Diceros bicornis minor: one gene and its partners. The protein of the gene in region 3 purifies or fractionates together with the protein of the main gene of each other region. This does not show direct contact. Links are inferred from orthologs where the notes say so. Each region holds a gene or a part of one and is shown on either strand. Other genes may lie near its edges.

Evidence for each region.
Region 1: the proteins of RAN (region 3) and AKIRIN2 purify together in Homo sapiens (affinity purification with mass spectrometry; 3 studies listed by BioGRID and IntAct, counting the BioPlex papers as one, with this or other methods). This does not show direct contact. The link is inferred for Diceros bicornis minor from reciprocal best matches to the Homo sapiens genes RAN and AKIRIN2.
Region 2: the proteins of RAN (region 3) and NUP153 purify together in Homo sapiens (affinity purification with mass spectrometry; 5 studies listed by BioGRID and IntAct, counting the BioPlex papers as one, with this or other methods). This does not show direct contact. The link is inferred for Diceros bicornis minor from reciprocal best matches to the Homo sapiens genes RAN and NUP153.
Region 4: the proteins of RAN (region 3) and IPO9 purify together in Homo sapiens (affinity purification with mass spectrometry; 3 studies listed by BioGRID and IntAct, with this or other methods). This does not show direct contact. The link is inferred for Diceros bicornis minor from reciprocal best matches to the Homo sapiens genes RAN and IPO9.

The regions. Positions count from the first base shown.
Region 1 is NC_080762.1:44,900,871-44,908,191, reverse strand, and holds the start of AKIRIN2 (akirin-2), read right to left. Parts: upstream 3,008-7,321; 5' UTR 2,491-3,007; coding exon 2,256-2,490; intron 1-2,255. UniProt on the Homo sapiens protein: Molecular adapter that acts as a bridge between a variety of multiprotein complexes, and which is involved in embryonic development, immunity, myogenesis and brain development.
Region 2 is NC_080753.1:49,678,014-49,685,966, forward strand, and holds the start of NUP153 (nuclear pore complex protein Nup153), read left to right. Parts: upstream 1-4,935; coding exon 4,936-5,046; intron 5,047-7,953. UniProt on the Homo sapiens protein: Component of the nuclear pore complex (NPC), a complex required for the trafficking across the nuclear envelope. Functions as a scaffolding element in the nuclear phase of the NPC essential for normal nucleocytoplasmic transport of proteins and mRNAs.
Region 3 is NC_080774.1:2,098,573-2,105,822, forward strand, and holds the start of RAN (GTP-binding nuclear protein Ran), read right to left. Parts: upstream 3,003-7,250; 5' UTR 2,914-3,002; intron 2,470-2,913; 5' UTR 2,460-2,469; coding exon 2,424-2,459; intron 2,141-2,423; coding exon 2,056-2,140; intron 1,979-2,055; coding exon 1,853-1,978; intron 648-1,852; coding exon 460-647; intron 264-459; coding exon 93-263; intron 1-92. UniProt on the Homo sapiens protein: GTPase involved in nucleocytoplasmic transport, participating both to the import and the export from the nucleus of proteins and RNAs. Switches between a cytoplasmic GDP- and a nuclear GTP-bound state by nucleotide exchange and GTP hydrolysis.
Region 4 is NC_080777.1:30,019,387-30,026,972, reverse strand, and holds the start of IPO9 (importin-9), read right to left. Parts: upstream 3,009-7,586; 5' UTR 2,994-3,008; coding exon 2,831-2,993; intron 1-2,830. UniProt on the Homo sapiens protein: Nuclear transport receptor that mediates nuclear import of proteins, such as histones, proteasome and actin. Serves as receptor for nuclear localization signals (NLS) in cargo substrates.

The DNA of each region.
Region 1 (7,321 bases), on a different chromosome or scaffold from region 3:
TATTTCCAAGTTTGGTGACATGAAAACTGGGAAGCTCTTTGATACCTGCACAACACTGCAGCTCCCATTATGACGTTATTACAAAACCATACAGGAGCATGCCCAAAACTGGCCATGTAAACACAAAGCCAAATTAAATTACATGTAGAATGTCACTCAAAATAGCAGCAAAAAAAAAGTAAATTTTTGCAATTCAAAACGTTAGCAATTTTAAATGCTTTTCGAAGTTAACTTTTTACGTTAAGATTCAAATTAGTTAAATAGCTAAGTAACTTTTAGCAGACAATAAAAATCAATTATGGTGTGATTTTCGAGTTCAGGATCTGATCAAACTTCCAGAGTAAACGTCCAAAACAGAAGATGCAGCAGTATTTTGGAAAATATGAATTCGAAATCAGCAGGCTTAAGCAACTCCAATGATTCCGGTTGTTTTACTATCATATAATACACTTAATGGAAATTTGAGAAAATTCGGAGCCAACTGCCTTAGCCAAATATATCAATGAAATCACAAATTTGCAAAGGATCCCAATTCTTTCCAAATAAGTTTCCTTTACAGCAAGGACAAATGTTATAGCCCCTGGCTGGTTTGCCATATATGCTCAAGACTATTTTAGCATTGAGATATACTTCAGCTCCCAAACCTAACACTGTATTAATTCACCCCCTCGACTGAAATTTATTGCTGGTTAGCTAGAGCTATTTTTAAGTGGCCTTATTAGTTGTTAAGTACAGATTCCATGGTATCATTTCAATTTTCAATGATCCTATTTCACTAAAAAAGACAAACTCTAAAAATAATGTTAACCACCAGGAGCTCATTTGTAACATTGTTTCTTTTTTAATGTAAAGCCTAACAATAAATCAATGAATGTCTTCATATAGAAAACAGTTTAGGTATGGTCATTAAATAAAATTATCTGGGAATTCCTCAAAACTCGCCACAACTCTAAAATAGTATATCTTTAAGTTAGATCAAATATTGAATAGCAAAAATGGTAGCCTTGGCATTTGAAGGTCTCCCCGCATATCTGGGGAAGGATATTTAAAAATCGGACCTGAAAAAACAAAACGAGTCAATTCCAAGTGGAAGTTACCAAATATAGAGATATATACGCCTAAATTTTTTTAAACCAGCGATAATGAAACATTTAAATCAAGCTATGAAAAAGTTTTGTCTACAGGTCATATTATTACCAAAGGCACATACACGAAACCTTTGCATGCTACACACACAAAGGAAACAGAATTACACTACCAGTCCACAAAAGCCTATCTTAGGACTGTGCCAAGGGCACACAAGGAATTTCAAAGTACAGAAAAAACTGGGCATACACATGCAGTACAAAGCAGCCAAAAGACATTTCCCCGTAGTCACTTTCAGGAAATGTTTCAAAATGAAAAGCAAAAATAGTCTGAAGTCCCTTCGAATCTTGGGTTGACTTTATTATTCTTAAGGCCTAGGCTGTTTTCTCCCGACATACTTTGTTGGGCTGAAATAAAGCACTTCCAACTAAAAACAACTACTTAGCCCCAAATTTCAATACAATTTGCTTTTCATTAAAAGTTCAAGTTTCTCAAGGTCTAGACGTATAGTGTGATCATATTACAGTACACGGGAAGAGCATTTTCTTTGTTGTTGACCCTGCTAGGGAAACAGGTCTTGACTCAGCCAAAGTGGCGTTCTTGTGGGTGATTAATGACAGGCCTACATCTCGCCCCGGTGACATCCATCCCCACCCCCCACCCCCTCTGTACTAAAATCAGCCATGTCTGAACTGGAGAAGGGGCTGCTGCCTCGCTTCGAACCACCCAGTCCCAGAGTCAACAGCTGCAACCCATCGATTCAGGGAGACAAGACACCGAGATTCGGGGTAATTGTGACCCTTCCCTCCCCTAAATTTATGAATAATATCGCCCTCTCCGATCATTTCCGCTGGAGCTCTCCAGACTACGGAAACACTCAATTCCAGTCACTGGCCCAAAGAAAAGGATCTTCCTCTTCCCCACAATACCCGGCAAGGCACGGCCCCTACCCACCCACCTCCCGACCGCCCCCCAACCCCCCACTGATATCAAGCCATTTCTATTGTCTCCCAGACTGGACTAGCTAATTAAAAGAAATGTGGTCGCCCAACTAGTCCGCTAAGAACGAGGACGCGTCCGGCACCCCCACCCCTGCGGCCGCGTCCTGCGCCCCGGGACCCCCGTCCCCTCGCCCCTACCCCCCCGGCGGCCGCGGGGCCGAGTCCCACCTGTGGTGAGGCGGGAGGACACGTCGCCGAAGGGGGACGGCTCCATTCGGAGATACTTCTGCGGCGAGGCGGCGGCGGCCGAGAAGGAGGCGGCGGTGGCCGCGGCCGCCGACGACGGGGAGGCTGCGGCCGAGGTGGGCGCCGACAATGGCGCACATCGCCTCCGCTTCGGGGACGCCGGGCTCAGCAGAGGGTCGAAATCCAGAGTCCTTTTCAGAGTGGCTCCGCACGCCATGGCCGGGGCCGCGGAGAGCCGGGCTCGGGTGGGGTCGGGGAGGGCGAGGGAAGGGGGAGAGCGGGGACGCGAGGGGAGCCTAACCGACGGGCTCAGGAGCAGAAGGGCGGGTGGCGGAGCGCCGGTGGGGAGGAGAGCCGCCGCCGCTGCCTCCGCGGCAGGGCAGTGGCCCGGGCCGGCGCGGGCGAGAGCGCGAGGGGCGGTGGCGGCAGCTCACGCCCGCCGCGTCAGGGGGGCTCTTCCGCCTCCTCAGGCGCGGCTCCCCCGGGAGAAGCTCCAGCCGCCCCCGCCGTCCGTTCGAGCTTTGCGCCGCGCCTGAGGCGCTCCTGCGCTGAGACCGGCTCCCTTCGGAAGTCGATACCAGCTTGGTGAGGTATGACGCCGGAACACGGCTCCTAAGCCGCCTGCGTAGGCTCAGAAGCTTGAGAGCGGCGGTCGATGCGGAAGGATTGCGAGGTGGTGGCGGCGGCGGCCGGAGCTCAAGCTAACACGTCCAGCCGCTTCCCCTTCCACCGTACGACTCTTCCACCCGCCGCCGGCCCCAATATGGCGTCAATAACAACGCCGCCGATTCAAATCCTGCGGCGTCAGGGCGCGTGCGCATAGGGGCGGCCACCCTGAGGGTTCTTTCTGGGAGTTGTAGTTTTTCACTGTGGGAAGGAATCCGCATAAAATGCGGTTACGGAGGAGTAACGGAAACTACAACTCCCGTCATTCAAGGCGCGTGATTCTGAGTTCCGGGTTAGAATTTAAATCCCCCTACACAGTGTGAGTGTAAAAGGAAGTAAGGAAAAGAGAAAAAATAAAAGGCTCCGAGAGTGTAGGAGAGGGGAAAGCGAACCGATGGGGAAAGCAGGCTTAAAAAACCTTTAAAATTCAAAACAGTTGTCCGGATACCGCTCCCGCTGTGCTTTGACAGCCAGGAAATAGAAAACCAAGCCAACCTAACAGTCCGACAGATTAATTTCGGTAATGAGTGCCAAGAAGAAAACCTGTCACATCGAGGGGCTAGGAAATAATGAGATTATGGAATCTATTTAGGACTGTAAGAGAGAACAACAGTAATAGTATCAGGTTACAGGATCCTTGATTGAACTCGATCCTTGTCCTTCCCAGGCAGCTGCTTGCATCCACTTACTAAATTTGGCAGAGCCAGCTTTATTCTGTAAATGAATAAGATTTGAACGACGTACAGAATGAAATTGTTTGCTTTGGATAAAAAGCGAGTGATATAGGGAATTGTACTATCTCTGTTGAATATTGGTGTATATCTTGTGAACAGTAAAAATTGAATCAAAAGACGTAATGAAATCTCTAGGGAGTAGATTGGACCCATTTTGAAAGCAGAGAAAAAATTTTCTTCTAAAAGTTGTACCTTTGTGCGTGTGTGTGTGTGTATGTGTGTATGAGGAAGATTAGCCCTGAGCTAACATCCATTGCCAATCCTCCTCTTTTTGCTGAGGAAGATTGGCACTGGGCTGACATCCTTGCCCATCTTTGCCCATCTTCCTCTACTGTATACAGGACACTGCCATAGCATGGCTTGACAAGCAGTGCATCGGTCCATGCCCGGGATCCGAACCTGTGAACCCTGGCTGCAGAGTGCAAACTTAACCACTACACCACTGGGCTGGTCCCTAAAAGTTGTGCTTTTAATCAGGTACCTAAAATAAGAATCAAATACAGCAATAAAAGAGTGATTTATGCAAAAAACTATCACCAGTCCTTTGCCTATGGAAGCTATCACCAGTCCAATACAAAACTATATCTATGTGAATGCCATATTATCAAATGATCATAGATATCAAATACTGGCTTCCAGTGCTTATTTATTCCTGTCATTTATTTAGTAACTGTATTCAGTAAAAGAGGTTTTGTACCACTTTGTCTTTTATTCTTTATACCACTTTTGGACAGGAGTTCAATATATTAATACTTGTTTTATAGGATTGTTCAACACCTCAAAGATAAGCAGTCCTGATCACACTGTTTGTGTCAACTAAGTTTGCTAGTTTTATTTTAAGATATTATACTGTTTGGAAAATATCTTTCAAAAAAGATCAGCATTTAATAAAACAGCAGCTTAACCATGACACCTAGTAGGTAAATTTTTACTAAGTTCTAAGCACTCTATGAAATCTATGATATGGTGAAATTAACAGAATATACACATTTCATGTAAATAAGTAGGAAAAGATAGGTTAACCCATGGAAAACAAGTCACAAGGCATTTATGTTCCTGTTAAATATTTTCTGGAATTAAGATTTGACCTTAAATTATAGAGCTTACATTGGAAAGGGAGTGTTCTGAGTTGAATTTTGTCTCCTCAAAATTTGTATGTTGAAGTCCTAACCCCAGGTATCTCAGAATATGACCAGAATTGGAAATAGGGTCATTTCTGATGTAATTAGTTGAGATGAGGTCATACTGGAGTAGGGTGGGCCCCTAATCCAATATGACTAGTATCCTTATAAAAAGGGGAAATTTGGACATGGGTGGGCAGAACACCACATGAACATGAAGAGAGAAATCTAGGTGCTGCGTCTACAAGCCAAGGTATGCCAAAGATTGCCAGCAAACCACCAGAAGCTAGGAGAGAGGCCTGGAGCAGATTCTCCCTCACAGTCCACAGAGGGAACCAACCCTGCTGACACCTTGATCTCAGAGCTCTAGACTCTGAGACAATAAATTTCTCTTGTTTAAGCTATCCAGTTTATGGTACTCTTATGGCAGCCCTAGGAAACTAATAGAAGGGGGGTTGTGGTTATCCTTTGAGTTACACTGGACTGCCTGTAAAATGGGGAAAGAGCTGTATGTAAAGGTGGTAGGGGACATCTGGTAAACTTGACATTTTAGTCATAATGGCTGCTCATGTGATCACCACTGCACAGCACATCTGCAAAACACTCTCTGTTATGATAAAACAGTGACAGAGCTGCAGCAGCCTCCCCTTCTACCAATGACTAAGGCACCTGCTCAGAAGCTCAGAGGAATAAGAGGAACACTTCCCTATTCACCTCTGTGTCTTTGCTCAGGCTCTCTGCTCCACACTTTTTGCCTGACTGCTTACCCTTGAAGACTCAACCCAGGCATTAACTCTTATAGGAAACCTTCCCCCAACAATTTGAGGCTGAATTAGTTTTACAGATTCACAGAGAAAGAGACACCTACCTGCATATCTTCATCATTACGCCCACCACATTGTAAAAGAATGCTCTGTTCATGAATCTACCTCTCCTACCATGTATTAGCTCCTTGCCAATAGTATAGTACCTTGCACACATCAACAAATACCCATTGATGTTTCAAGTACACATTTTAAAGTCACCCTATCCTCCCAGTAGCCTACATTATGCTTGCCCTTTAAGACAGATATCTACCAAAATAGTATAGCAACCGTTTTAGAGTAGAAGAAAGCTATTGAAGAAGGAAAAAAACACCTAAGAAAATATTTCTTAGACTAAAATTAAGAATAAAAATAGAGCCAGCTCTGGTAACTTAGTGGTTAAGTTGTGTGTGCTCTGCTTTCGCGGTCCAGGTTCAGTTCCTGAGCATGGACCTATACCACTCATCAGCCATGCTGTGGCAGTGACCCACACACAAAGTAGAGGAAGACTGGCACAGATGTCAGCTCAGGGCTCATCTTCCTCAAGCAAAAAAAAACAAAGAGGAAGATTGCCAGTGGATGTTAGCTCAGGGTGAATCCTCCTCAGGAAAAAATAAAATAATATAATACTTGAAAGCTGATAAGTCTTAACATAGTTTAGAAGTGAATTTTTATTTTGTTGATCAAAAGGAAAAGAAAACTATATTTAACACATTAATAAGTTGAATCTGGTCATATGCGTCTAAATATATAGTACAGCTAATGGCTCTAGTGACCTACACAGACCAGAATTGCTCTTGTTGTGACTAAAAGGCCTATATCAAGTTTTAAAGGCTTGAAATATTTAGAATAGTTTTGCAACAGTCTAGCAACTATTTTCTGATTTGTATAATCTCAGAAACCTCTGAAGAAAATCAAACTGTTCTACCAAGATGCTGGTCTTTGCTTGGTATTAGACTTTTCTAACACCTCCCAAAATATTCCCCAGGATCTGATTCTGGTGAGTCATTCTTTGACTAAAGCCAGTAAAAGTAGACATAGCTGGATGACACAAAATCTCATCATCCTGAGCCTGAAGATCCTGTTCGTACATAAATCATTTTTCAAACAATTTTTCTGACGTCAAATAAAGATAAGTGCAAATATGTAAGGTGTGGAGAGGTGTTTGCTGACTTTGCATGCTCAGTTTGAGTAATCGTAGGCTCAGCATTAGGAACAGCAGTTCTAATTCAGGAGTCACTTCAAATCTATATTCAGAATAAGCACTGCCTAGGAAAAAAAAAAGTTTAATAATTGTGTAAATGAGTGCAGTAGAGAAGAACACACATTGTAATTCCTTCCACATAGGATTTTGCAGGCTGGCCGAAACCTCTTCTAAGCACCAGATATGGAATACCTACTATTTTCCTTAGTAGATATGATGCTGGCTAATTTTACTTTGGTTTCATTATTTTGGATGTGGTCATTATTTTGAGTTGATTGGATAGATCACAGAGTAATCTAAACCATATATCTGTGAGTGATTTCAAGAAGTTACCTAGTCTAGTTCCTAGCCTCAAAGCATGATTACCTGTAAACTACTCAAGCCAAATCAGTATCTCTCTGACTCTTTCTAGAGATTTTCAGGAACAGCATCCAAAATCCAACTGCAAATTCTCTTATATCTAGCTTTAACCTCTTCTCTGTCATCAGAGGCTGACTTCTACTAGTATAGTGCTCTATAG
Region 2 (7,953 bases), on a different chromosome or scaffold from region 3:
GTCCATGCCCAGGAACCGATCCTGGGCCACTGAAGCAAGCGTGCTGAACTTAACCACTAGGCCATGGGGCTGGGGCTGGCCCCCAGAATTGTCTTACCTTTTGAAGAATATATAGAGGAGGTTTTTCATCCAGGTTGGGCTTAGACTAAATTGTATTTCATTTGTAATTAGTGGATATTTCCTATCTCTTAGAGAAGGGTCAGCAGCCTCTCTATTTGCTAATTTATAATTGGCAGACGGTTCCAATACTATATGGGGAAAAATAAAGAAGTTTCTTGGAGGACAGGGACTCTAATAATAATAGGCTTTTCATAAATTGAGATCTCTCCCAATACACCATCTGTTTTGGCTGAAAAAACCAGGTTCAAGTTTAAGAAAAGTGAAGTTGGGCTAATCTTTGTTTTCAGCTTGGTTATTGGGAAGGAATTCCTGTCCTTCTGTGTTTTGTGTCAGGTTCTGCCACTTGGTCTGAATATGAATAGCTCTTAGTTTTTTCTCTAACCTTCTATGATATACGTTGAATTCTGTTGATCTTGCTAACATAGCTTCTCTCTGAGATTTGGAGGCCTGATGTACAATATCCCTTCCACCAAAACGCCCCTGCTGATGTACACTCACTCCCATCCTACAACATGTCCTCATATCCCCATGCCATAATGGGAGTCCTTGCATTCCCAGGTGATCCTAAGCCAGCGATTTGAGTCTGGTCTCTCCAACGGCTATCACATCATACAGCTGGGCAAATATCCACTCTCACTATGCAGCAAGACTAGAACCAGGATCTAACAAACATTTAAGTGATAGGTAGGTTCCAAAACTGGCCAAAAAAATGGCAGAACGATGGCAAAGTGAGAGCATGGGCTTTGAGAGAGGAAGAGAAATCATTTCAAGTATTGACTGCTATTATTTTTAAAATAATTTTTTTAACTATTTTTTTATCCCTTCAGTAGTGCCCCAGTTTCAAATGAGGAAAATAATTTCTCTCAGGATTATTAGAATTACGTGAAAATCTCTATATAACATTATGATGGGGATTTGTTCATGATTCTTACAAACGCTTTATCAGGAATAAATAAATGAATTTGAGAAACATTAATTTGTTATGCAGTATAGTAAATGAATACAGGCAAGCCAGGAAAGGTTATATAAATCAGTTTAGCTGTTTTCATCATTGTACTATTTATTCTAATAAAATGGAAACAGTTGACATTGGTAGTAATTGGATATTGGGCAAATGAGCTATAGTATATACAGAGTGACTGTTAACACTGTTCTGTGTGTTCAGGATATAGCTATGAGAAAAATTCCTTATCTGCTAGGAGTTTAAAACCTAGTAGGGGAGAAATGAGTTTCTATTAAAATATACTCAGTGAAACAACCCAAAACATAAGGTCACTTCTCAGAATCATTTCAGTTTTGTCTAGGCCTAAAGACCAGTGGGAGTAGAAGTTAATAATAAAAAGGAAAGGATGAATAAAGAAGATAGCTAGCTCATAATACAAAATTTACAAGTGATAGCTTCCAATGCTGTGAACTACAGAATCTCATAGGGTTTTTAGGGATTAAATTTAATGATCTATAGAAATTGCTTAATTATAAGTACTAAATAATAATAATTTCCTTCCTCAAAACCTGTTAACTCTTAATATGGCTGGAAGGATTTCAAGAACCCCTATTATTGTTCCATGCCATTTGATATTCTTTCCAATTTATATATAGTATCTCTTAGAGAAATGTTCAATAATTATTTATTTGAATGCAGGTAGATTCTGTAAGTTATAATCAGAATAACTTATTATAACCCATTCTACTACTAGTAATTCCCACTTAAAGAATGAATTTTGTACCAAAAATGTGTGAGGAACTCTAGGTTTGGTGATTTGTAACTCCAAACTGAATTTCAGCACAGAAACAATGTTATTTTAGAATCTCAAACTATGCAAAAGAAGTTACTTCATCCCATAGTGAGGCTGATACTATTTCAAGGTAAAATTAAGAAGTTTTTTTTTATTTATTTATTTATTTCCCCCCCAAAGCCCCAGTAGATAGTTGTATGTCATAGTTGCACATCCTTCTAGTTGCTGTATGTGGGACACAGCCTCAGCATAGCCGGGGAAGCTGTGCGTCAGTGCGCACCAGGGATCCGAGGGATCCGAACCCGGGCCGCCAGCAGCGGAGCGCGCGCACTTAACCGCTAAGCCAGGGGGCTGGCCCAAAATTAAGAAGTTTTGAATGCGCATTTCTTCTTGTCTCTTATTCTCTCTCTGCTGTCAAGCCTGGTAAAGTTTCCAGGAACTCAATCACATAAATGTGGGACTAATGTATTCTTGTTCCCTCAAATGTTGTTTTACTTCAAAGAAATAACCGTAAAATGGGGTAAACAATTGAGATCAAGTCTAAAGGGGGATGTGGATTTTCCCATATCTCCTCAAATCCTACCAATTTTCTATTCTAAAGTTTCGTTTTAGTTAGGCCCAGCTCTTTTGCATGTCCCTTCCTTCAAAGCTTGGCTGTGAAGGCTGTCCCCACACATCAAATAGCCTCCAAGAAAGGGATGGGTTTTGAGTCCCAGCCAGTCCACTCTCCTGTGCTGGGAATTTTGAGTCCGGTGGGCTGAAAAGGGAAGATGGGATGTGGCTACAGTTCCATCTCCTATATATGAGCCCATTTAAAGATTTAGGTACAGATCTTCCCTGTGAGTTAGCTTATTAAAAATTACCTTACTCCGCTTGCCAAATACCTAGCTAAGAATTGTGAAAGACAAACAATTGTATTTAAGAAGGATGAGGTGCTTCCAGAAGAAGAGTATGCATACCTGGAGAGTCCAGGGGGGAGTCAGTGGTGTAAGGGGGCATGAAGCTAGGACAGGGAAGCACAAGAGCAAGTGGATTCATTCTGTCTATCATATTCTGCAACTTTTTATAGTCTTGGTGGTTACGGACAGGAGCGCCACTGAAAGCCGTCATTTGCTCTGTAAACCTAGGTCTGATACAACATGGTTCCTTGCAAATTCCAAGGTACTGTAAATTTCGTTTTACAATTTGACTTATATGATTTATACAGTGGTTTGAATTGTGCAGTTTGTTGGTGGAGATGGTATAAAAGTCTTGGAGTTAATTTATCTGTGTCTGATAGCTGGATGATGTTAGATGCTTTCTATCTAAGCAATCATTATGAGCTATAATATATACATTAGTCCTTTTATCAGACGCGCCACCCTGTTGAGGTTAATATTCATTCTGTTTGCAGATGAGAAAACTGAAGCTTAGAAAGAGGATCAGTAACTCCCCCAAGGCTACACAGCTAGTAAGTGACAGATTTGAAATTGTCTATTTGACTCTAAAGCTATTTATAAGCTTTAAGATCAACTGGCTCAAACAGAACATTAAGCCTATGTTTTTTCACAGTGGCAGATTTTTCTCCCTAATCATTCAGTTACTTGTCTCAGCTCTTACAGAAAAGTTGGGTTATAGTCCTGGCTTTGACTGCCCAGCTCAGTGTCCGCCAACATGCCACTTGGATTCTCTGGATCGCTGTCTTGTCCGTTGAATGAGAGGGCTAGACCGCGTGATCACCAAGACCTTCCTAATGGTCAACTCCTACAATCTCTATTCGTATTTTGTGGATTCCATCTTTGAGCCTAACTCACTTTCCTAAATATGATGCCTTCTATTTGGAGCAAATATATATATACTTTTATTACTGATAACAGACTGCTTACCTCTAATGTGAGCTGACTGCGTAGGTAATAATTGTAGCCATTTATTGTCTACCAGAAAACATACTAAGTGCTCTACGTAGATGATCACAACAGTTCTATAAGGTGGATTTTAAAGTTTCACGTTATAGAGGAGGAAGCCAAGGCTCAGGTTTTGACTTATCCAAGGTCAAGCCAGAGAGCAGCAGAGCTGGAATTCCAGCCTTTGTGTATTTGACGACAAAGCTCTTATATGTTTAATGGAACATTAATGAAACTGTATATATTTTCTAATTCTGCTTTAGGCTTAAAGATCATGGACATTATTTTTTCAACCAGTTTTTTTTCTTTTTATGTTATTAGCTCCCGTCTTTGATTTTATTATCTGCTTATTTTCTGCTCCCTTTATCAAATGATGGGGAGAAGTAGAGTGGGAACGTTACTGTTTTGATGTTAAATGCCTCTTTCAAAGTTTAAGTTTACAGCCAAGAGCGGCAAAGTGAACAGACTCTCTGGCTTTGTGACTTCGCGGCGATCCGCGCATCTCCTTCCTCGTCCTCCTGAGAATTCGCGTTCTTCCGCTGAACTACGTTTCCCAGCGGGCTGCGCGGCCAAGAGCGCGGGCTCGACAAGCCCTTCCTTCCTCTTCGCCTATCACGCGGTCGCAGCGTGATGACGCAAACTGGTCCGGCGCTGACGAGTGACGGCATTCTGGCTCGCGACCGCGGCGGCGGCCTTAGCAGCGGCAATAGGCGCAGCAGCAGCGGCGACTGCAGGGACGACGACGGCGGCGGGGCGGGCGCTGCGCGCAAAGGGGAGGGGTAGGCGGGCGGCGCCGGCGGCTTCAACTGCGGCAGCTACGACTAGGGCGACGGAAGAAGAATCCCCATCAGCCGGCCGTCGAGTTAGGCCTAAGCGCCCGGAGCCGCTTCGCTGTCCTCTGCGGGGGATCTCCATAGAGACAGTGACATACACAGAGGCGGGGGTCCGCGGGAGGCTGCCGGACCGGAGCCAGCTCCTCGGCCTCTGTCGCCGCCACCGCCTGCCCCGCTGCCAGCGCGCGTCCTCTCGCCACTCCAGCTCGCAGCCTCGCCGTTCCTGGTGTGCCTGTGCCCCGCTGTGTGGGCAGTGCGGGCGGACTGTTGGGCTGGGGCCGGGCGGGGGTGCTCTAAGGCCGCCGCCTCTGCCTCTCCCGCCCCCTTACCCGCCCGGGAGGGGGAAGCAGCGGAGGCTCCGCCATGGCCTCGGGAGCCGGAGGAATAGGAGGGGGCGGTGGCGGCAAGATCCGGACGCGGCGGTGCCACCAGGGGCCAATTAAGCCTTACCAGCAGGGGCGACAACAGCACCAGGTACGGGACCCCGACGCGGCGGTGGCCTAGCGGGTCGGGAACTCGGCGGGAGGGAACAGGCAGCGAGGGGCCCTGGCGCCCCACGTGGAGCGGACGGGAGGGCCTGCGGAAAGGCCCGAGCGAGGCGGCGGGAGCGCAGGCGGGCGGGGTGGCGACGGGAAGTGGGCTGACACAGGCCCATCTTTGCGGCACCCACGTGTGGTTCGGGCCGCCTCTCGCCAGCCCTCCAGGCCAGGGGCTTCCCCTGGACGGGCGCAGGGCGGGAACAGCAACTCTAGGCCCACGATGCCCGCGTTTCTTTCGCTTTTGGCGGGGATTGGGGGGTTGAGGGTATTACTCACGTCCTCCCGAGGGAGAAAGGAAAAGATGTGGCTGGAGGCCTCTGCGCTTGCTGTTTTCTAGTCTCCCGCGTTTCAGTGCGTGTGGGGAGGGGGCTGCCCGGAGGGATCGGCCTCCGGGGGTTGGCGGGGGCGCTGTTACACAGAAAGTGGAATAACTTAGTCTCAACCTATTAATTAATTCTCCATCTCCTCTGCTCTTGTTCCTCCCCGATCTGAGAGCATTGGCTTAGATTTTTTTTTTCGTAACCGGGTTAGACTTACCGTGGCAGTGGGGCATTTTGAAAGTCCCTCTCCACCCTTACGTCTTTTCTCTGCTGCGAGACTCTTCCTTCTCCACTTTCTATCCCTCCCCTTCCCTTTATTTTGGAGGGTAGACTTGGCCGTTATGCACAGTTGACCGGGACTCCAGTTCTGGTCTCATGCACAAAATATTTTAATATTATGGGGCGTATTCTGGAAGTTTAGGTACTTTTGACATTCCAGGCATGTTGGTGGTCTTAGAATTTAACCACCTTGTGCACTCATGGGTGTTTGAAATTATGAAAAGGAGTTTATCCTAATTGTAAATGAGACATTTGAGTCTGAGGAAATTTCGTTTTTTAAACGTTACGTGTTTATTATGGGGATTGAGTAGGAAAATGTTAAAAACTTATTTTGATAAAAGTCACTAATAAAACTTCTCTGTGATGCTGAGGTGGGAAGTAAGTGTATATCTTAAACTTGTTAAAAAACAGAAGTACCGTACAGCAAAAGGGTCTGATAACTTGTTGCATACTGTTAAAGGTAGACTTCCTAGGTTGCCTTATTCTGGATGATGATGAATATTGGACACTTTAACATGTTTGGTAGTGGTGTTAAATTGTATCATTAAAAAACAACAGAATTTTAAAAGTAATGATTTGAGGGAAATTTTTTGATAGTAAAAATTGTGGTTTATAATATTAAGTAGTCCTCTACTAATGGTTAGAAGTCTTGGCATTACTATTATCTCTCACCAGTTTCCCCCCAGGTAAATATATGCAGAAAGTACTTGGTTTTCAGATTTCTTTGTGAGAAACAGGGGTATATACTTGCAGGCAGATTTAAGATTAGAATTCAGGTCACAAGCCTGGCCATTTAACCTAATCCTTTTGTAGAATGGAAGTTAGACACACATGCTTTCTGTTTCTCCTGAAGAATAAATGTCTGAGTGCTGTCTTAGGTCTCCCTAAGGGAAAGTTACTACATAAAAAATGAAATGTTTTAAATACAGATCATTGGATGGTCTGGACAGAGTTTAGAAAGGAGCTAATATATTCCAGGTGGCAGAAGTTATAATCACAGCTTACTTTTAAAGGTATTTAGATAAAAATCTAATTTGGGGGAGATGATGCCTTAACAACATAACACCTATGATCCAAATTGTCTTAGAGCTGATATAATTTCAGTGTAGTTTTGTTTTAGAGCTTGATAATTTTATCATTTCCCCTTATCAGAAATGCTTTCAGCTTCTTACCTCAGCCATTTAATTGAAAAAGGAAATACATTTTTAGCTTTTGGGTTGAGATTAAAGATGTTTGGGAGTTTCTTGATCAACACTGTAGGTGTTACTTAACATTGGCAGAAACTACCAAAGAAAAGTATGTGTCCAGGAGTATACAAAAGAATACTCTTTAATTTATCGATTTTGTTCATCTTAAAATAAGGACTTTCTTTAGTCTTTACTGGAACTTTTGTGGATTTGTAGACTACCTGCTTGCTGTACTATCCTGGGCTGTCACCTCTCTATGTTTTGCAGCAGCTGCTGAGTCATCATGAATATCAAGGAGCTTCATGACATGGCATGTTTTATACTAATGTTATTTGATTAAGTGTCTAAGAGTTTCTGGGCAAAAATGAAGTTTTGGGATATGTGGTAGAGAGTTGGAATAAGAATGAGAGGTCTGGCACTATTAGTTAATGGATGTTTGCCATTGCCTGTCAGGCCAACTGGCTTGTGCAATCACGCAGTCACGCAGTACCTGTGACTTTTGCGTGTGTTCAACTGACTTGTAATTTCCTGTTTTGATTTCTTCTGGTTTAGCTCTGCTGAGATAGATCTAGTTTACATTTTTTCCTTTTAACTTCTGATCTTTAAAATGGCATCTTGCTCGAAGTGGTGGAAACTTAAATCCATTGTCTTAACTAACTGAAGGGAAGCAACTTAAGAATTGAAGAAGCAAAAATGAAGAACAGCCCTGAGTAGTGTAAGTTGATCATTTTCACTTGCCTTCATCCCTACCTCCTAACTCTTAGCCCAGATGCATTTAGGAAATGGTGTCATTTTTCTAGTTGGGAGTGAACAGGTCACTAAAGAGGATGTGGTTAGTTCTTGTCACCTCTTCAGTCTCCTTTCCCGTTTCCTTTTTGTGCAGATTGTCAGGCCCAAAAAGTCAGCTCTGGAGAGGTCAAGCTGCTTTTTTTAATAGCCACCACAAAAAACTTGAGCCCACGGGCAAACCAGAACCTTGCCTCTGGAAGAATCTACTGCCACCTCCTGGTGAGAGGGAACTACTTATTTTTGCCCTTTTTTGGGGGGTGTGCTTCA
Region 3 (7,250 bases):
AGAGATGAAAAAATTTTAACACTCTAGATTAAAGCCACTAGGAATGTGATATGCCAAATCCCACAGCACCCACTGAGACTGAAACATCATACCTCTAGATCATGCTCGTACTGTGCTGCCAAAGCTGGGTCCATGACAACCTCTGGTGGGGCAAGAGCAGGCATGGCGACAAACTCCAAGTTAGGGTCTCCAATGAGTTTTCTAGCAAGCCAGAGGAAGGGCTTTTCAAAGTTGTAGTTACTTTTGGCAGAAATGTCATAGTACTGTTTAAAAAAGAAGTAAAATTAATTTTAAAAACTCCATTACTCAAACAATGATCATCCTGGGGGACACTGCAAGCTAAAAGATAAAATTACTTCAATCCACATATCACAGACGTTTATCAACCACTTTAATGGACCCATATATAATTTTATCTAAGGGCCCTAATCCAGTAAATGGAAGCTGTAAGAAACATACCTGAAGATTCTTCTTTCGGTGGAAGACAATAGATTTTGCCTTAACTTTCCTGTCCTTAATGTCCACTTTGTTGCCACACAACACAATGGGGATGTTTTCACATACTCGTACCAGATCTCGATGCCAGTTAGGCACATTCTTGTAAGTAACTCTCGATGTTACATCAAACATTATAATGGCACACTGGGCTGAAGGAAAAATTTACAGAAATTAGTACACACCTAGCAACTACATGGATGAGAAATGCTAAGAACTATGGACTAGCACTCAGTCTCAGACTTAACTCTAGGTCATCCAGAGTTGCCTAATCAATTTCAAAGTCTCTTCCAATTCTAAAAATCTTAAATCACTGTAACACACAATACCGTTTATATGAAAGCATGAAAAACCAATTTACCTTATCAAATCTCTCTCCCTATAGTCCTTCATCACTAATTCTACCTAATCCCAAAAAAGTACCTAAAGTAGATTAATGATAAATCAACATTCCAGAGAACTCACCTCCCATATTCTGAGGGTCTAGAAATCTATGCTTTACAATGTCCTTAAACGGCTGAATACACCATAACATGCCTCTATTTAAGAATACTCAAGTAGGTCACTATGTTGACCTGTAGGAATAGGCACCTCTCAAAGCTAATGAAAAAACCAAGAGTATGCACAGTATAATACAGTTTAAGTAAAGAATTTTTGGGGGAAAAATCCCTGTATTTGTACATACTCAAGGAAAAGCAAATAGCATGGAAGGATTCCCAACAACTTTTCAGCGAGAGTAAGATTCCAGGTAATGAGTATTTTCTTTATTCATCTTTTCATTTGGCACAACAGTAAGCATTTTTCTTTGCAATTTTTAAATCAAGCATTCGGAAAAAAAATTCTGCAAAACTCAGCACAATTAAAAAGAAAACAGCTGGTCTTTTACAACATTTGTAAGCTAGAGAACCTAGCTCTTCTGGTCCAGTATCTGGTCAAACTGTTTACTATCTTCTCAATAGAATGGAGAAGAAATCATCATTGATGACCACCAAAACATACACCCAGAAATAAGTTTTCAAATGAGGCTGAAGCTGCAGCAACTGCTTGTCTGTTGCTTACTACTGTTTTTAAATTATGAGCCTCAATATAAAATCAAGTAGTTTTTTCAAAACAGTGCCTATTATGACACAGCATGCAACCAAACGGCACAAGACAACTTCCATAAAATTTTTTCCCCCTCCAATGATGGTCAGCTCCCTGGAGGCAATGACTTTTTAATCAACCTAAATTACACAACTCCTGGTACGGTCCGGATTAAGCATGTGTTCACTGGAACAGATCTGATCATCACTGAACACCCTAGGGGACCAAACTACAATTTCTCAAAAAGTGTTCAAGTTACAGACGAGACACGCACCTTGAATGTAATAGCCATCTCTCAGTCCACCGAATTTCTCCTGGCCCGCTGTGTCCCACACGTTGAACTTGATGGGCCCTCTGTTGGTGTGGAACACGAGGGGATGGACCTCGACGCCCAAGGTGGCTGAAACACACACCCCACATCAGTCCGGGAATTCGTCCGTTTCACCCCACTTTCGCCGACGGTTTTCCCCCACGTACCTACATACTTCTTCTCGAATTCCCCCGTCAGATGGCGTTTCACGAACGTAGTTTTCCCAGTGCCACCGTCCCCAACCAATACGAGCTGTTGGACAACACGTTTTTGAAATAAACCCCAGACCCGTAACATCTCAGGACCCCGGAGTCACGCAGCCGCGAGGCTTGCCGGACGCCCACCTCCACCGGGGGGACAGAACCTCAACACCCCGTCAGGTCCCCCCACACAAAGGACCCCGACCGAGCGGCCCCGCCATCGCTTCGGCGACTTCGGCCGCCGGAACGTGCGCCCGCGGCCACGCGGGGCCCGGCCCCGAGAGCCCCCGCGCGCCCCGCCGCGCCCCGCCGCGCCGGCCCACGCGGACACCTACTTTGAACTGGACCTGCGGCTCTCCCTGGGCGGCCATCGCGATGTTCCTGCGGAGAGAGAGCGGGGCCCGCGGGGGCCGGGACACATGGCCGGCCGCCCCACGTGCCGGCCCACAAAGGCGGCCCCCGGCCCGACCCCGCGCGGGCGGCGGGCGGGGCGCGGCGCCATGGCGGCCGGGCGGCGGCTCCCGCGGCCCATTCACCGGGCCGGCGGGGAGGCCGCGCGGGGGAGGCCCGGAGGCCGGGCCCCGAAAGCGCCTGGTCACGGCCGGCCCGCCCGGCCCCCCTCCGTCCGCGCCCGGCCCGCCGCCCCGCCGCCCGCCCGCCCGGCCCGCGCTCGGGTCCGGCCCGGCCCGCGGCCTCCACGGGGAAGAGGGCCCGCCGCCCCGGGCCCGGCCCCGCCGCCTCCCGCGGCCGCCGGCGCCCTCGCCCCGGCCCCGGCCCCGGCCCGCGGCCCCGGCCCCCGCCCCGGCCCGGCCTCCCCTCCGCTACCTTCCAGAAGCGTCTCCGGGCCCGTCTGACTGAGGGCTGGAAAGATGGCGGAAGCGCAATTCAAATGCCCGGAGACGCAGCCGACGCCGGCGCGCGCCGAGGGAGGGCGGGGCAACGGCGCGGCGCCTCTCCCACGTGGCCTGGCGCGCGCGCGCACGCACGCCGCGGCTCCGCCGGCCGCACTCGTCGGCCGGGGGCGCAGGGAGAGGCTCGCGGCGCGGCGGGAGCGGGAGGCCGTGCGGGCGCGCGCACGCCCGCCTGCCCGCGGGGCCACGTGCGCCGGCCGGGAGGCCGGGTTCCCGCGCGCGCATGCGCCGACGGCGACGCGGCGCGCCCTGCTGCCGCCCGGGTAACAGAAGCGGGAGGGGAGGGCCGCGGCCTGTTGGGCGGGAAACTCGCGGGGAGCGGCCACACAAAGCCCCGGTCGTGCCCGGCGGCCTCCTGCACAAGCACGGGCACAGCGGGCCCCGGGGGCGCCATGTTGGGGGCGCAGGCCCCTTCCCTGCCCCCTCCCCAGCCCCCGGCCTCAATCAGGACCCTCCGAGGGGAAGGGAAGCAGAGACCGATGCTTTCTCCCCCCGAAAAGCCAGCCCCCTGTCTCCTACGGCGTGTGATCGGTCAGCAGCCTCCGCGACCGTATTCTGCAGACAGGATGCTGAAATGTGGTGTTCGCAACCGTGGCGGGTCTTCTCCTGTTACAGACATGGGTGCAGTCATGAGTGTCCAGGTTCCAGACTCGGGAGGGGATAGGCCGCCAGGAGCCCGGACGAGCGCCGTGCGCGCACGCTCCTGGAGACACCCCCTCACGGGGTCAGCGTGGGCGGAAAAGGAGGACCCGCAAGCTCACGAGTATTGGTTATCGTCATCCGTTCATTCGCTTTTAGCAAAGATGTGGGCCGAATGGAGTCCTCGCACCTCGTATCCTAAATCTGAGGCCAGTGTTTGGCGTTTATATGGACAACCACAGATTCTTTAACTGACGTCTGGGTCCCCCCGGCCAAGCAAGCATCCATGACTGGCAGCAAGAGCAGGCAGCGAATGGCCCCATCAGAATAAAGTTCCTCACAAAAAGATTCCACCACGGGGACTGTTCCCAGAGCAAAGAACCCAAATGACCAAGGAGTTAGCCACGGAGTCCTGAGTGCACTTGCAAGCAGGTCTGTTGGGAACTCCAGTGACGCAAACTGGGCACAACACATCTGAGAATGTGCCTGCTGGGAACTCAAGTCCGAGTGCCCCGAAGGACCCTCAGGAAAACACCAAGCAGATCTCGATGCTGCTGGTGGGAGTGTAAATTGGTTCGGCCTCTTGAGAGAGAGAAACTAATAAAACATAAATGTCCATAGCTCACGACCCTGAATTGCCCTGTATTTCCATTTCTCGGGAGATGCCGTAGCGTTAAACTCACACATGTGCATAAGGAGACAGGTTCACAATGCTCACTGTGACATTATTTACAGTAACAAAAAGTGGAACTTACGTAAACGTCCATCAATAGGGAAATGTATAAATATGCTGTGTTTATACGATGGATTACTGTACAGCATTTAAAAAGAATGAAGTTCAGCTATGTCAACAGAGTTAGATAGATCTCAAAAGGATAATGTGGAGAAAAGAAGCAAGTTCAAGAAATATGTGGTAATACCTTTATATAGTCTACACTATATATAATTTATAGAGATTATATGTAGTATAAGACCACTTATGTAAGTTTTTTACAAACACACATAAAACCATATTAGTTCTTGGATGTATGTATGTAAATTTTTAAAAGTTGACTACAGGGATATAGACTAAATTCTGCTGGCTGTTGCTTTGAGAGAGGAGAAAGGAGTGTGATGAAATTGGGAAAAGCAGTCAAAGAAGTCTTGATCTGCAGTGTCCTCTTTCTTTTTTTAAAAAGGTAATCGTATAATTCTGGGTGATGAAAACACCAGTGTTTAGACCTTTTGGCATTTAAAAAAAATTTCTAACCACAAAAAAAGCCAAGGGGCAGTATGTCAAACCAAGAGTATTAGCTGCTCTCGCACCCATCCTTCTAAAAGGAGCTCCTGGGCCGGCCCAGTGGCTTAGCGGTTGAGTGCTCGCGTTCCGCTACTGGCGGCCCGAGTTCAGATCCTGGGCGCGCACCGACGCACCGCTTCTCCAGCCATGCTGAGGCCGAGTCCCACATACAGCAACTAGAAGGATGTGCAACTATGACATACAACTATCTACTGGGGCTTCCGGGAAAAAAAATGGGGAGGATTGGCAATAGATGTTAGCTCAGAGCCGGTCTTCCTCAGCAAAAAGAGGAGGATTAGCATGGACGTTAGCTCAGGGCTGATCTTCCTCACAAAAAAGAAAAAAAAGGAGCTCCTGGGTGGTCTGTTCTTGGCTGCTAATGTCATTAACTGGCCCAATCCCAGAACTTCTAAACATCATCATCTTATGGAGAGTGAAAAGGGGGAAAATATACTCAAGCCAGCAGAAATAATGCTTTTCCTCAATAGAACTGTCCAAGCTCGTCCATTTGTTAATGGCTTTGCAGTTTACAGAGGTACTTAACTTGTCTCGGCCACCCAACACAGATTGCAAACCCATGCTTAACCTGTAGTTTAAAAAATTACAGCTATATACACAAAGAAATATGAGAATTACAAAAAAGTTGCAAAAGTAGTACAAGGAATTTCAGCACCCTTTACTTCTAGTTTCCTCAAATGTTAACATTAATCATTCTTGATCATTCTCTCCTCTCAATAAAAACATCGTATATATATGATTTTAAAAATATGTCAATATATATGTGATTTTTTTCCTCTGAGATGTTTGAGTAAGAAGCAAACAGCACGCCCCTCAGTGTGTATTTCTTAAAACCAAGGACATTCTGTTACGTAACCACTGTACAATTACCAAAGTCAGGAAATGAACATTGTTGCAATTGTTATCTTATCTACAGAACTTAATTGCCAATTGTCTCACGCCTGTCCTTTATCTGCTGCAGGATCCATCTAGGATTACACATTACATTTAGCTGTCCTGTCTCTTTACTGTCTTTCAATGTGGAATGCTACATTCATCTTAGGCTTTCATATCCTTGACATTTTTGCAGAGTATTTTGTGGGCCAGTTATTTGTAGAATGGCCCTCCATTTGGATTTCTCTGATATTTCCTTAGGATTAGAGTCAGGTTATGCAGCGTGGGTTGGGATACCACAGAAATGACGTATGTCCTTCTCAGTGCATCTTATCAGGAGGCACAGAGCGATCTTCTTAAAACATATCAGACCAACCTTCTCCCCTCTTAAACCCTGCAACGGTTATCTATCTATCTCACTTGGATACATGAAATCCTCAGCCGGCCAGGTCCTATATGAGCTAGCTTGTGCCTACCTCTCCTGCCCCACCTCGGGCCTCTTTCCCAGTAACTCTTCTGTGGCCACACAAGCCTTTCTGAATCTTACCTTGGCCAAGTTTGTTCCCAAATCAGGGCCTTTGCACTTACTGGTCCCTCTGCCTAAAACGTTCTTTCTCCACATCTTTGCCTGAGTGGCTCCTTTTCATTCTTCAGGTCACAGCTGAATGTCACCTCCTCAGGAAGGCCCACTCAGACCACACCCCTTCTAACGTGTTATCACCACTCCAGCCCTTCCTCATCTCAGCAACCATTTTATTTTCTCCAAAGCACTTACCACTAACTGAAAATATCTTGCTTAATTATTTACACGCTTCCTTTTTTTATCTCTCTGTCCCTCATTAGAATAAACTAAGCACCTTATTTATCATGATATTTGAGGTATCGAGCACAGTGCCTCGGCCATAATGGGAGCTCAGTAAAGATTTGTTGAATTATTGAGTGAATTGCTCTTCACCCCATCTGAATACAGAAAGAATAATCAGAAACAGCAGCGATATATTCTAATAAAAATAATGATTTACATATACCAGCTTATTAGAATTTTAATAATGCTATTTCATATCAAAGACTAATCATTAAGCAAATAACTTAAACATTTACCAAATATAGGGCCAAGCTTTTCTATTTGTATGGTTTCCATCAACTTTGTTGACTTTGCAAACCAATAAGGAAGCTAATCTTAAAGATTTCATTATCTAATTCATTCATCAGTCCAGCTGACGCATGTCAGTAACTTACCAAATGAGATCTTTTCTTTATCCGACACTCAATGTTCCATATAGGGAGCACATCGATGCACAGAGTACATGCTACTTCTTAGCGTTAGCACAGAAGTTATCGTCTTAAAAGCAAATGGAGAGACTTGTCATATAGTCACACCATATAGTCACTCATCTCTTTCATCTAAAGATAAGGACAGTGCAGAGGGTGCACCTTCGTGG
Region 4 (7,586 bases), on a different chromosome or scaffold from region 3:
GTCCAAGTGACTAAAGAAAATGGCAAACACAGGGACTCGAGAAAATCATTCCAGGACATGAAGTGATGAAACAACCTATCCTGATCCTTTCAAAATTGACCCACTATGAGTCAGGTGAATCTCTCAAATATATACACTTCCTTGGCTTAAGAGAATAGGCTCCCATTGTGGAAAACATGATAACTAACTATAGGCAAGTTATTTCTTGGAAAATATCTGCTGGCAGACTAAAGGACTAGGATGTACCTTGGCCTCCAGCAACCCCAATTTTCTAAGATAACTGCTTCTCAAAGTCTCCTCTACCCCAGAATCTGGTCAGAGCATGTCAACCTCTCATCTGTCCATTTAACAGGGAGTTGAAAATTTACTCTGCCCTTTCCCCCAAAATTAAATTAGAGCTTCTTTCACTTAATCCTCAAGACTAGGGAAGGAAGGTGGCACACTAGTTTGCCAAAGGGAACATACTGGTTAGTCTTAAGGATCAGTTGGGACCAGTCTCCCATGTGAAACAATAATAAATGGCTCACAAAGACAGTGTGGTTATTTGAGGGGACAGAGGATCTAGAAACAACTGGATTTGGTTGTCAGCTGACCTTGGGCCCCAGAGAACCAAGACAGGATCAAAAGATTACCAGAATACAAATAATAACAGACACCAACCCCCAGATTTCTCATTAACTTCAAGTTTTAAGGAAGCATGTTTCCTAGGACCAGAAAGCAAAGTTTCTTCCACTAGAGTAAAACTAAAATGTGAAGCAATTCCAAAGGAGTGGAAAACTATCTGTTCATTCATTTGCAAGAATGGTTCCTCACCTTGGTCTGCAGGGTGTTCTAATAGCAGGAGCAGCGTCCTGCCAGTTTCATCAGGTCAGATGGCTAAATCCTGGCCGGGAAGCCAGGAGCTATATATTTTCATGTAAAGAAGGGCAATAGCGAGTGGAGAAGAAACTACTGACCATGTTAATTTAACACCTGAGATTCAGACAGATTATAAAACAGGAGGTACTCTGGACCCCCGGCAAAAAATAACTTGTTCAAGGCCACAAGAAGAGAAGCAAGGTACTGTATCTGAGAAACAGGTCTCCATCCTCCATCTAAAAATAAGTTAACGAAGGGGGTGAGTTTCTATAGTTCTTAAATAAACATAAGGAGTCAGGCTATTTAAAAACAGAAACAGCCTCCAAACGGTCCAAAGCACCACATTCCACTGGAGACTTGATCCAACCCTGTCCACCACATCCTAAACCTGTGAACCTGTGGGTCATATGCCTTCCTCCTAGACCACTGATATAGGTCACTGTAACAAAGCCTTGCTATAGGTCTCACAGCATGCCCAACAGCACAACACCAGTAAATTATGGGTGTGTGTGTGTGTGTGTGTGTGTGTTTCAATCCACTCCCATAAGTGGCCTAGGTCTAAGGCAAAATTGTGCATTTCTGCTTAATTTTTTATTTCAAGACGCAAAAAAGATGAAGTGAGAGACTAGAACTTCAAAAAGACTTCAAGAAGTTTCTAAGTGACTTTGCCTAGATGAGACCACGGCACTGGCTAGAGTGGAAGGGATCAGAGCCCAAGTGGTGCTGTTGCTGGACAGTTTAAACAAGAGCCAGGGTTCACCTTTCATAGGAAGGCGCTGGACATGTATTTGGGGCACCAGGAACGTTGGGTATCATTCAGGGAAGGCAACGGACCCTCACCTTCATTCAAGTAGTAACCTGAATGTGATGAGGTTCCTTTGTCACTCTTCCTCCTTGCTGCCCAAGGGAGGCAGAGACATGAATGTGAATCAAGGATTTCCCTTGGGAGGCTGTGATAACTCCTTCAGGTCAATCTACACACGGCTCTCAAACAGTTTTCTCCTACCTGGTGGTTGCTCCTCTTGTAGGGTCTCACATTTTACAGAACAATGACAAGTACAACTAGGCCTTCAAAATGGTCCTTAACCTGTGAGATCGCAAATCTCAATGCATTTCCAACAGAGGGAAATTCGTTTTCAACAGCTCACACTGTGAGAATATAAAGTTAAATTTAAGGAATACTTGTCTTAAATTCTTTTCGTAAAACTCTTAAGTCCAGCAGGAGTGTGACTGTCAGACCTGGGACAACTTCCCGCGTCTCAGAAGAGCCTTTAAGAGGCGGTGGAGACGTCCTGCGGAGCTGGGGGATTCTGAGGATCTTGAGTCCTCCCAGTGGAGCCCTGAGAGACCAGCACATTCTTCCAAAAAGGCCAAGAGGCTTCTCCCTCCTCCTGCTTCAGGATCACACTGTTCTTTGTGGAGCGGCCACCCCGACCCTGGTGAAAGGCCCACTCAGCAGGAAAGTGACGGAGCACCCCGAACCCGGAGTTTCTTTTCTCCTCCATCACTTTAAGACATATCACAGGAGGATGGGGACAAAGAATCAGAGACAAAGGATAGTCGGTTCCTCCCAACGGAAACGCACACGGAGGCATTTAAGAAATGCGAGTTACTGTGAAAACGGACGGAGAGAAGTACGGTCAGGAAGGGAAGCGGCTGCATGCGCGTTTATTCGATTTCTGGGAAGACACGGGGAGGAACCGCCACCGGCCAGGCTCCGAAATCGGAGGCGGGCCCTGGAGAGCAGGACCACGCTCGGGAAGCGCCTCTCAGGCCCTGCTCCTCCGCTCCCCGCGCCCGGCCGGGACCCCGCGGTGCGGAGAGGAGGACCGGGTCCCGACTCGGTCACACTCGGCAGGCGGACCGCCCGCCCGCGGGTCCCGGCTCCACCAGACCCCTCCCCGGCGCCTCCCTCCCGTCCGCCCTCTCCCGCGCTGCGCCGGGCCCTCCTCATGTGGCCGCCCTCACTCACCCTCCGTCACCTCCAGCACCTTGATCTGCTCCTCGGCCGCCGCCCGCACCTCCTGCACGGGCGACAGGATCCCGGTGAGCGTCTCCACCAGCGCCTCCTTCAGGCCCTGCGCTACCGGGCCCGGTAGCCCCGACGCCGCGCCCGCCGCAGCCGCGGCCGCCATCTTTCCTCCTCAGCCCGCCACCCCGCCGGGACCCGCCGCCGAGGACGGCTCCCGCGCGCGGCCAATCCGCGAAGCGGCGCCTGCGTACGGGGTGGGCCGGGGGCGAGCGGGTCGGGGAGGGGGTCCAGGCCTCCGCAGACAGCGCCTCCTGCCGCCTGGACGAGAACTGCACCCTTGTCCCCCGGAATCACGTAGGATTGACGTGAAAACCGAGCCCCGTACGGGACAAGCGGCTTTCCTAAAGAGGACTTGGAAGCAAGGCCGTGACATGTGACTTCAGATCCACAGATCTTTCGGGTGTTGGGAGAGAGGAGGTGGGATGGGGATGGATGTAGAGGGCTTTAATAGCTCCTATTTTAAACCAAACTTTTTTTCCCTAAACACTGAAAAAATGTTGGCCCAGGTGAGTCTCTTCCTCTCTTAGCCTCAGGATTCCAAAGGGAGGGGGAAAAGAAACTGAAGTGGACGGGCACTGAGGTGTGGTCACCTTCCAAAGCCAATGTCTTGGTTTTCCAGCCTAGGTGAGCCCAACCCCAAAACTGGAACTTGGCCGGCCAGGAGAGAGCAGCTCCGTGCGTAAGGGCATTTCCTCCACTGTCAACACTTCTATGACTATTTGAGAATGAATCCTATTAGCTGAGAAAGTATAAATTTTTTTTTCCCCAGAGAAATTATGGCTGGACATTTAAGGGGTGGAGGGACGAGAGTTGTTTAATATGGATGTCCCAGGCTGGTCGTGGGAAATGGCTCAGGTATAGAGATGCCCCTCAATACTGGAGCAAGTGGAGGGAGTTATCCGAGGGGTTGAAAAGCAGGACAGGGTGGTGGCAGAGGGTTGGAATAGCTATGTTCTTGGAGTGGGAGGTTCTAGAACAAAGAGGAACAGGTATTTCTTAGAAAGCTGTTCAGGTTGAGTGCCTTAAAATGGTTTCTAGGAACCGTCTCAATCCTAAGTGGCAAAGGAAACCAGTTAGCAATTCTTGGCTCAGTTGTAAGATGGTGGATGCTAAATTGATAACAATCAGGGTTTAGGTCACCAATCTGAGGATTCTTCCAAAAGAAAGACTCCTCGATTTATTTTGAGGTGAACTCTAAACACATTTGTCACCTCCCGTGTTAGGGAGCAGAGGTCGGTTGTGTTACCACAACTATTTCACAGGGAAAAGGTTGCTTCTTTCTTCAGTTCCATAGCAGGGAATAGGAAGACTTCTCATTTTCCTTCTCTCAGTGGCCAAGGGAAGGTGAACTCCATTAGAATAGGTTAATTAGAATTAGGTTAATTCACTTTTATTCCCAAAAGAAAGCTTAGGGAAGTCCAGTGGGTGGTATGTTTTCAAACATTGTGGCAGTGGATGGAGGACTCAAGAACCCAACTTTGGGGCTGGACATTTCGAGTTTTGGTGATGGATGCTATGTCCACAGTGTGCAAGCAGTTCCCCCCAACTCCCAAAGGTTGGTCAAGAGACTCCTGCTTAGGATTTGAGGATGAGACATTTCCGGGCAGGTGGGTCTTACCTCTAAGGTTAGGCAAACAACCACGAGCGGTCTCACCTTCCAGTTTGAGGAAGGGGCCACAGGAAGTGGAGACAGAACCAGACAGAGAGGGAGCTAGAGAGAACCAGTGGACAGTACAGGAGATAACTTTATTGAAACACAAATGGCATCGAACAGATGACTCTTGCTGGGAGGAGACATGCCTAATGGACAGAGGGCCCAGATGAGGGGATGGCCTTTTCAGCTGGCCCCAGCATGGATTCCATTTTCAACCAATTTGTGATTTAAAATGAATTACTGAGGGGACAGTCCCGCTCTCTTCCTGATTGTTACCGCAGCTATATACAACAGGTTGCTTTCCAGGTTGTTTTGCTTCTCTACATTGGATATAAAAGGGGGTCGATTGGAAGAGGGGAGGGTCAGATGAGAAAAAACATAAACACACAGACACACACATATCCTGGTTTTGGGTTTTGTGTTCAATAAATTAAAAAAAAAAGTGTTGCAAAAATTCCTGCCCACCTTCCACCTGAGGTTCGCCATGCATTTGAGAAAGAAAGACTCCATCACATAAACAGTGCTGCCTAAAACCGGATGGGGAGGGGAGAAGGAAAGGAATCTAGCAGGGGTGGGAATTTATTGTAAAAAAGATTATTCTGTTAAAACAAAAACAAAAACACAAACACAGCAGGAAGTGGGAGGCTTCTGCACAGCAGCAGCACAGAGACCAGCTGGGTATGGGGCTCTTGCCTTATAATCAGACATCTCCAGTCTCAGAGAAATGGCAGGGAAGCAGGAAGATCCCACAGGAGATGACCAAAGGACCCATCGCCTGCCTTCTGGGGGTGAGGGGTGATTTTAGTGCAATTGTTTTAGACTCTCCTTCCTCTGTGGCTTAGTTCCAGAGCTCAGGAGGACTGGCATGCTTGTCTTCCACCCACAAGCTCTCTCCCAGGGAAAACAGACAAGTTTGAAACAAAACCAGCTGTCAACAGCCTCATCTCCCCCATGGCCCCATCAGCTGGAGTCAGTGAGTTTGGAAAGATCCAAAGCTCCTTTCAGATTTTTAAAGGGTTTTATTCTCTGGCCATGGCTGGGGAGTTGTGTATCCGAGTCCTGGTGTGGGGAAAGGAAAAGGGGAGCCCAAGGACTGAGGTGCCCCAGGACTGTGCCTTCATCGAGCTGAACTCTGTCCTGTGAGCCAAGCAGAGCATGGAGAGGGGCCTTCGTGGGAGACAGCATCACGGCTGTCTGCCGCATTGGGAAGGAGGTTCTGGCCAGGTTCTCAGACCTGCAGAGCCCAAAACTGGAGTAGGGAGGGGGATGTTCCTAAGACAAGTTGTCATGGAAATACAAAGGAGGTGTTTTGACTTTTCTCATCCTGTTACATAATCGGAAAAGGCTCACAGTAGACACAAGTAATCCAGAGAAGAGCGATCTGGAAGAGACTTCCAGCTGCCGTCTTCTGTGGGAGCCCCTTAGTGTGCCAGCCAGACACTTCAGAGCCATGGGATTTTTCTCTGAAGGTTGTGTTCAACTAGGAGAGATGCAAACATCCTGCTAACCTCAGCCCAAAGGCACACATACCTTTTCTTTCTGTGTTAAATAAAAGGAGAACCAGAAACATAAAGAAGCATGAGAAAGGTAACTTTGGAATTAATGTTGATGTCTGCATTATAAATAGGACCTTCTTATTCTAGGTCCCAAAGCTCCTCAGTGTGGGGCCTCTGATACTTGGCTTTCCCTCTAAAAGTGAATTTCAGACTGTAGTGTGCATCAGAATAACCAAGGGGTTTCGTTACAACACTCATTGCCGGGCCCTCTCCCCAGCTTCTGATTCAGTGGGTCTGGGATGGGGCCTCAGAATTTCACTTTTAACAAGTTCCCAGATGCTGCTGATACTGCTGGAAACACACGTTGAGCACCACTGCTTTAAGAAATGAAAGAGCTGAATCAAGGAACCAGCTGCTCACTTACTTCCATGACCACTCTTGTCATAGAAAATGCTCCATGGCATAATCATTAAGAAAACTAGCCAAAATATCAAACTGGGAGGACCCAGTATACACAGGTTTAGTTTTCAACTGTATTGGTCTCTCTGCAGCTTCCAAATTTCTACTGGTGTCCTCACTTTGAGACTATACCATCTTCCAGTTTGCTTCCATCTTTCCCAGGGTCTGTGGCTGGCAGTGCTTGCTTCCATGGCTAGGCTGAGCATACAGGCACCCATGGCCCCTCGGCAGTGGGGGGAGCTAAGTGGGTGGCCCCACATATCCCTGATCAGGTTGATTGAGGACTCGTGAATACATAAAGCTGATTCAATTATAAAGGGCAATATCTTCAGGCTTTGGCCTTTTGGGAACATAGTGTTCCTGGGACCATTTTGTTACTTATGGCCTCTTTAGTGGGGCCATGAATCAGAACTCGCTAGCAGCTATTGGTCATCCTAAGAGTGTCCCAGCCTTCCACTAGCATATCCTTCTCCATGAGTAAACTCTGCAAGCACGTTTCACCTCATCGCTGGGGTTGGCTCATAAAGTCTACTTATTAGCTTCAGCTTAGCTAAGGCCCAGCAGGAAGGAAAGGAAAGAAAGGCATGATGAGGAGCTACATCTGCTGACCACGATCCCTTCAGCACTTGAGCCCTTGTGCTGTGTGGTTAGGACAAGACCAACTTCCTCTCCCAAACACCTTGCAATAAAGAACCCTAAAGCCCCACGTAGGCTCTCCTTGATCCTGGTTTGCATGACCAAGTCCTACTCAGTCAGGCAAACTTCACCTGGGTGCAGGGTTTCTGTAGATGGGTGCTGTCCCAAGTGGTGACGTGAGGTGTCTGTGAGAAACTGCAGGCTGCCACTGCTCCCCTCCTACTCTGCTGGAACCCTAGAGGAAACAGTTACCTCTCAGACCACTCCAAATAGTGTGACCCTTGTCTCAGGGAGCTACAAGTGAAGAGACGGTGAGGTTAAATCTACTCAGAGTCTTGCAAACCAGGAAACCCAGAAGGCAAGAAATGAAATGAAAAAAAAAAAAAATCACTATTTTGTCTTAAGTCATTAAGGAGTATGGATAGATTAGTTAGAAGGTTGGTGATTCAAG